Linked DNA regions of Stegostoma tigrinum. Each later gene encodes a partner of the first gene's protein in a complex. Links are inferred from orthologs where the notes say so. Each region holds a gene or a part of one and is shown in the gene's direction. Other genes may lie near its edges. The genes, in order: sec31a and pdcd6.

Evidence for each region.
Region 2: the proteins of sec31a (region 1) and pdcd6 are in contact, whole or in part, in a crystal structure (PDB 3WXA), measured with the Homo sapiens proteins. The link is inferred for Stegostoma tigrinum from reciprocal best matches to the Homo sapiens genes SEC31A and PDCD6. Residues at the interface, in NP_001070675.1 of Homo sapiens: Asn837, Pro838, Pro839, Pro840, Pro841, Gly842, Phe843, Ile844, Met845; in NP_037364.1 of Homo sapiens: Val31, Val35, Leu48, Ala51, Leu52, Ser53, Asn54, Gly55, Thr56, Trp57, Phe85, Trp89, Ile92, Gln96, Phe99, Phe148.

Annotation. Positions count from the first base shown.
Region 1 is NC_081354.1:77,616,096-77,620,014, forward strand, and holds the start of sec31a (protein transport protein Sec31A), read left to right. Parts: upstream 1-1,377; 5' UTR 1,378-1,413; coding exon 1,414-1,684; intron 1,685-3,919. UniProt on the Homo sapiens protein: Component of the coat protein complex II (COPII) which promotes the formation of transport vesicles from the endoplasmic reticulum (ER).
Region 2 is NC_081355.1:20,853,316-20,857,234, reverse strand, and holds the start of pdcd6 (programmed cell death protein 6), read left to right. Parts: upstream 1-955; 5' UTR 956-1,160; coding exon 1,161-1,240; intron 1,241-3,919. Other genes in the region: pigm (GPI mannosyltransferase 1), read right to left, coding at 629-793. UniProt on the Homo sapiens protein: Calcium sensor that plays a key role in processes such as endoplasmic reticulum (ER)-Golgi vesicular transport, endosomal biogenesis or membrane repair.

The DNA of each region.
Region 1 (3,919 bases):
TCAGAAACAAGTACTGTCTCGTCACAAAAAGGAGATTATTTCAGATAGTTGACTAACACCTGAAGAAGGACTGAGGCTCCGAAAGCTTGAGTTTTCAAAAAAACCTGTTGGAGTTTAACCTGGCGTCGTGTGATTTCTGACCTTGTCCACCCTAGTCCACACTGTGGAGGATTCTGTGAGGATTCAAGTAAGAAATCTTCATGGCTCACAGAAGCAAAACTGAGAAGCAATTGTCAAAGATTGGACTGAGAAGGAAGATGTGTTTGGATTTTGTGTACTAAAAAGTGATGGTGGTGGGGAGTAAATAGGATTCTGTTTCACTGTGTCTTTCAAAATTTTTCAAAAACGGTTTCTGCTCTTTCTGACACACTGGTTTTAAAGTCATAGCTCTGAAAGACTGGCCTAATTAATTATTAAACACCTACACATGCAAAAGGCTAAGACCCATTTTCCAGTAGTTTAAAATGCAAGCTCTAAAACAATAATTCTATGTTATATGTAGTTAACTTGATTTGTTTTTCATTGTGGTTCACTGATGAGAATTAAATGTGCTGAATTGAGACGATTTTATATTTATGTCATTGCCCGGTTTTTTTAAAAAAAGAATGTTCCTTAGATGTGGGCGTTGCCAGAGTTTATTGGCCATCAGGACTGGGATGAGAATTGCCTGCTCCTGTGAAAGCAAAATGTTTTGGGTCTGTGGTATTTAACCAGATTATGAATGAGCAACGTGAGAACACCTACTACAACTTAAGTCGGGAAACAATGCAAGGAACTATTTCTGGTTATTTATTCATTTCAGAACCAAGGGGCAAAATGCCAACGCGAGACAGCAGAACACCTTTCATTAAAAAACAAAATATTCTGGACGCTGGAAATCTGAAAATAAAAACAAAAGGTGCTGGAGAAAAATCAGCAGGTCTTGCTGCACGTGTGGAGGAGAAAATAGTTAAGGTTTCGGGTCAGTTATGACTGTTTAAAAACAAAGTGGTTGAAAATAGCATATTCTGTGTTGAGGACAGAGGGGGAGTGCACTGAGTGGAACAGATTGCACGTCAGTCTACAACATAAAAACACCCCAGATGTTCCAACTCCTTTCAGTTCTTAAAAGTCACAATAGACTCGACCCATTAACTGTGTTTTTCTCATCACAGGTGCTTCGAGACCACTGATTTCTCCAGCACTTTCTGCTTTCAAATACATAAGGCGACTTCAAAACAGAAAATGTTAGAAATGCTCAGCACATCAGGCAGTAACTGTAAAGCGAGAGAGAGAGACAGTCAACAACGCAGGTTGATGATATCTCAGGTTGCTGAGGACATCTTTTGGACACTCATGCAATTGTTCAAATGTAGCCGTTCACCTTTTGGAGTGTACAGAACGTACTCGGTGTGATTGCTCGATGACTGTGATATGGTTAAGTATAGCCCAGTGCCTCTGTTACCGTGGGTTGCACTCGTGTGTGCCCAGGGGACATGCGGGTGCTTCGCGCTGCTGCGTCTCTTCATTCTCCCTCAGGTCCTGTCTCACCCACAAGATCTGCTCTCCCTCTCACCGCCTGATACTGGGCGGACTTTGTACTCCGAGGAAGCGGAAGTGGAGCTGGGTCGGTCCAATCTGCTCCGGCTGCCACGTTGGTGGAGACGTGGACTTGAAGCACCGGGAGCTACAGGCAGAGCCGGAGGTAAGCCGGGAGCTCGGGGCGGGCGTGAGAGCCTGAAACCCTCGGGGGGTGGGTTTGCTCCTCCCGCGGACCCCGGCTTCCTGTGAAATCTCTCCCGGCTGAGGAAGCGTAGGGATCGGCAGGGCCGCTGGCGGGGGGGGGAAGGTTGATGTTACTTTTAAATGGGGTTTGATTTGACTCGAGTCTGGGTGGCCGGCCCAGAAATTTCATTCGTTTCTCTCAAAAACAAATTGTAGACAGTTCCAACTTTCTGCTTTCCCCGATCCTCGCAGTCTGTCTGCTTCAGTGTTTCTTTCTGTTTACATTGAAACACTGTTTGTGTAAACATTGTATCCCCTCACTGTCACTGTCAGGGCGGCCCAGTTCCCCCTCTTTCCAATCCTGGGGTTTCCTGGTCAATACTGTTCCACACCATTTCCTACCTTTTTCGATCACCGATGGATCGTGGCCGGCTTCTCCCTTCCTTTTTCCAAGTAACACTATTTCTGACCAGCCGTGAAAATGCAGTGGGGCGCGGGGAGACGTTCAAAACTTGCACCTTTTGCATCTCAAATCCTGGAGTCAGGCCACAGCCAACCTCGCCTCTCAGTCAAAAGACTGGACTCCAGCTCCACTCCAGAGACTGGTGCTGCACTGTCAGAGGTGCTGTCTCTCAAATCAGATGAAAGGCCCAGGTCCTGTCTGTGCTCTCGGGTGGACCCAAAAGATCATGGCTTTATTTTGAAGAAGAGCATGGGATTTATTCCCCTGGTGCCTCCGCCAATGTTTATCCTTCAGTCAGCATATTAAAAAAAATGTTACCTGCGTTATCATTAGCTTGCTGTATACAAATTGTTGCTGTTTCTCCTCCATCACAACAGCAACCATGCTTCAAAGAAGTGCTGTCCCGCTTGTAAAGTATATGGGAAAGGAGCTCTTAAAAAAGTGTTTCTCTTGCCCACGGTAAATAAGTGCGATGATTTGACAGGTCGGCAGTAGAACATGATAGAGGGCATTTTGCATGTTTCATTTCAATGAAAGTTACTTACAGCAACATTTTAATTGCTTGAAATCTCCTCATTTGCCTCAACGACATAGGAAGAAAAGTGTGCATATTTACACTGGACCTACTACAGTACATTTGAAGTGTTCTGATCCATTTGTCAGCTCTGGTTCACTGATTGCTGGAGAGCAAGGGGATAAGTGGTGGAAAGAGCTTGGACTTCCATCCAAGACTTTCCAACTTGGTACCTCTGATTGAGTCTTGGGCTAACCATTTATTACTAAGACAGATAATGCTGTTTTTAGTTCTAATCTTTCAAAGATCATTCTTAGACTTCTGTATCTATGGGAGTTCTATCAGCTTGGATCTGATTGTTTGTTTATTGATGAATTAGAAATCACAGATCACTGGCAGCTTTGAGGTTATACCTGCTGGTGCTTAGACCTGTTGATGGCACTTTTATTTTGAGTCAGAGATTGTTTATTTGAGACCCACTCCAGTAATTGAGCACATGGATTAACATTTCTAAGTACACCATCGGCTTGTCTTTTTAAAGCAGTCAATTTACTTATCAGAAGTATGTTTGAGAGGACCGCTGTTATTTTTCAAAGAAAGTATAACACAATTGTACTTCTTTCCTAAGTGATAATTGGTCCTACCGTAATTGAACAATTTTAATCTTTACTTGTATTCATTAATATGGGGAACGCAGGACATGAGGAATCACACTAAGATATTTAATCTGTCCAGCTTCTTTCAGCATTCAGTGTGATCGAGGGCTGATCTGTGCCTTAGCTCCATATACCCACCTTTGTCCCATCCTCTTAACATTCTTGGTTATCAGAAATCTCGAAACCTCACATTCAAAATTTACACTTATCTAGCATCATTTGCCATTTGCGGGAGAACATTCCAATCGCCTACAATATTATTTACGTATGTTTGTGTGTGTGCATGCACGTGCAACTGTTTCCAAATTTCAATTCCAAAATGAACACGGGAACAGGAATAGGCTGCTCAGCCTGCTCCATCATTCAATGAGATCAAGATTGATCTGCAGTCTAACTCCATATCTAACTCCTTTGCCCCATTTACCTTAATATATTTGCTGAACAAAAGTTTATCTATCTCAGATATAAAGTTAACAACTGATCCAGCATGCACTGCTGTTTGTGTGAGAGAGTTCCAAAACTCTACCACCCTTTGCGTGTAGAGGTGCTTCCTGACATCTCTCCTGAATGGTCTGACCCTAA
Region 2 (3,919 bases), on another chromosome or scaffold:
CATGCCCCTCATGATTTTACAAACCTTTACAAGGTCATTCCTCAGCTTCTAAAGCTGCAGAAAACAATGCCCCAGTCTATTCAGCCCCTCTCTATAACCCAAACCATCCAGTCCTGGCAGCCCTTGTAAAACCATTCTGCGCCCTCTCAAGTTGAGCAACATCCTGCATATAGGAGGGTGACCAGAATTTAATGCAGTATTTTAAAACTGGCCTCGCCAATTTCACGTACAGTTGCGACATGACATTCAAATTCCTAGACTCAATGTTGTGCCCAGTGAATGCAAGGGTGCCATGCCACTTTCGCAAACCTGTTAACCTGCCAACTCCACTTTCAAGGAACTGCACCTCTAGGTCTCTTCGTTCAGCAGCGCTCCCCAGGGACCCCCTGTTTGTCTACCATTTCCTTAGATAGCATCTGTTCTGAGGAAGGGGCACCGGACCCGAAATGTTAACTCTGATTTCTCTTCACAGATGCTGCCAGGTCTGCTGAGCTTTTCCAGCAAATTCTGTTTCGGATTTACAGCTTCCGCAGTTCTTTCGGTCTGTATGCCAGCAAGGGGATTCGGGTTCAAGACGCAACAGCTCCAGAGTTGCGCCATTGAACTTTCCACGCCCAATCCGGTTTACCTGAGTGACAAACCTGGCGGCGTCTGTGAAGACATGATAATCCACATCGGTGTATTTGACCGGCATGGAGCGGTCCTGGTGCAGCCCATAGAAGACAAGGCCGACGCGGAGGCAGAAAGCGACTGCAAACAGGGCAGCGCGCCCAGGGTTCAAAGCTCGGCCCATTGATCGGGGGGGGGGGGGCGGGGAAATTTACATCGGCCAATGTAAAATTACAAGGAACTTTAACGGGGACGTCACCCCAGCAACGGTGGCGAAACAGCAAGCGGTTGATCTGAGGAGGTCGAACCGTCGGTCCCTGTCCTCTCGGAGGTTTTCAAATCCCATTCTGGATGTTTATGCATGCAGGTCTGAAAGATCACCGCAACCGCCACGGAGCGCGAAGCAGTTGAGACGGAACCATCGCGGGACGGCTCACTATCACGTGGCTGGACGCGGAGGGGCGCGGCGGGGTCAGGTGATGCGGGCGGAAGCGAGATAGTTCGAGCGGGGGAAGCTATTGAGACCAAGCTCGTGGCAACAACGGTCTCCGATGGCGTATCACTACCGGCCGCAGCAACCGGCCAACAACGGCCTTCCCGACCAAGGCTTCCTGTGGAATGTCTTCCAGAGGTACATGGCATCTTGATTACGGGAGGCGCGGAACGTGTGGGAGGGAGGCAGGCGGGCGGACGGACGGACGGACGGACGAGAGAGAGAGCGAGCTTGATTGATTTAGATGGTCCGGAGCGTTGAAGTATCATGGGAGAGACTCTTATTCCTCTCCACAACAACCACCACCCACCCCATGCTGCTACTCCTCTCCAATATGCCCTCTGTCCTACTCCACCCCATTATCTCCACACTCCCCTAACTGGCTTCACCATCCTCAAGTCTTGTTTCTCTCTCTCTCTCTCTCTCTCTCTCTCTCTCTCTCTCTCTCTCTCTCCTTCCTCTCCCATCTTTGGGGGAAAACACTGAGCCCGCTCCCCCACCGGGGAGGGCCTGAGCCCACTCACATGGTACCCTGGAAGCAAGGGGTGAAGTGACAGGGCCAGCGGGCTCCTTGACTGATTGCCAGAGTGTTCCTCGCGCACTGACTGTCTGAATAACGAGGGAAATTCGTATTGCTACAAGACTTCTTAATTAAAGTCACTGAAGGTAATGAGCTTGTTTTCACGTAGTTTGTGTGCAAAATTGTTGCCTTTCCCACATTACTTCATTAACTATGATGGTACTTCATCCTTTACTGGTAATGTTTCCTTCCTCTGGGGTGAGGCTTAGTGGAATTCTCTCTGGGATGACTGTTCAAACAACTCCTTTTGTCAGCGTCACTTGTACTGTCCCCATTACGCCCTCGGAATGGGCATTTATGCTGCACCTTTCAGACCCTCAGTACTGATATTTGCATAGTACCCTTCAGAGTCTTACCACTTGCTTTAATGTAACAACTTTTGAGTGTTCAGATTGCTTTACAGGGAGCAAATTATTTTTGAATGGCTGTCATTGTTATTTGGAGAACACATCCACCAATTTGTTGACAAATATCCAGACCACAATAAGCCAAGTGACTGGTTAAAGTTTTGAATGGTAAAGTCTGGTCCCTACACCTGGTGTATTGTTCTACTTCTGTTCCTACCTCACTGGATCTTTTATGTTCTCCAGGGGAATTAAAAGAAACAACAACTTTGTCTCATCCAGGCATTTCTACCACTAGTAACATTATATTCCCTCAAAGCTCAGCTGTAAATGCTGTATAAGCTGGAGAATCAAAGGCTTTACTCTGCTACTAACCATAGGTGCATTCAGAAGTTGGATAATGCATAACAGACTAGTATCTGAACAAATTTCTAATTGCTGGCTACAGTTCATGTTGCAGGCTTACATAGAAACATAGAATATTGTTGCATCAGTAGGTCAATCAGCCCTTTGGTTGCTGTTCAATATGATCATGACTGATCATCAACTTCGTACATTTTCCAGTTTTTTTCCCTGTATCCTTTGATCCCTTTAGCCCTAAAAACTAAATCTACACCTTTCTTGAAAGCCGTCAGTGTTTTGGCCTCATCAGTTTGCGATGGCAGAAATATCTCTTGCAAACCAACCATCTGTGATTCGTGCACAAGGGCACACAAGTCCCTCTGCACAGCAGAATGTGGCAACTTTTTACTGTTCAAATAATAGTCTCTTTTACTGTTACTCCTACTAAAATGGATGACTTCTCATTTATCAACATTGGCTTTCATCTGCCGGACCTTCGCCCACTCACTTAAACTATCTGTGTCCCTCCAAAAATTTTCAGAGTCCTCTGCACACCTTCCTGTACCATTCATGTTAGTGTCATCGCAAGCAGTGACACACATTACATGTGGTCCCCAAGTCCAAGTTATCAACAGTTGCGGTCCTCGGAGTGATCCCTGGGGCACACCGCTAGTTACTGTTTGCCAACCAGCAAAACACTTGTTTATCCCCATTCTTTGCTTCCTGTTAGTTTACCAATCCTCAATCCATGCTAATACATTACCTGTAATGCCATGCGTCTTTATCTTATGCAGCAGCCTTTGGTGTGTCAAACCTCTCGAATGCCTTTTGGAAATCCAGATACACAACATTTACTGGACCCCTGTTGTCCACTGAGCTCAATGTCTTCTTAGAATTCCAGCAAATTAGTCAAGCATGACCAGTCTTTAATGAAGGTATGTGGCATCTGCCCATTAGGGGAATTTCTATCTAGTTGTCTCACTGTTTCTTCCTTGATAGATTTAAGTATTTTCCCACTACAGAAGTTAAGCCAACTGGCCTATAATTCCCCATCTTTTGTCCACCCTCTTTTTCAAACAGTGGCGTCACATTGGAAAATAGCCAATCTGCTGGAACTGCCCCAGAGTCCAGCAAATTTTGGCAAATTACCCCAAGTGCATTTGCTATTACTCTTGCCATCGCTTTTAGTACCCTGGATGCATTCCATCAGAGCCAGGAGACTTGTCTATCTTTGGCCATTTGCTTACCCAATACTACCTGTTACATGATAATGATTGTGTCTAGGTCCTTACCTACTTTAGTCTCGTTGTAATCAATTTAGAATCTTATAGTTTTCTAGCATCCTAACGAAGTAGCTTTTGAGGCAAAAATAAAGTTGCCATCTTCCTATTAGAGAGACAACTGGTGAGTTTAACCCATGGATCACCACAACGCAGACAAGGGCCAAGGTTGAGAAGGCTGGACATTTATGGTAACTGCAGCCAGTACACGGATCAAACCCATACTTTTGATGACACTCTGCATCGCAATCCAGCTACCCATCCAACTGAG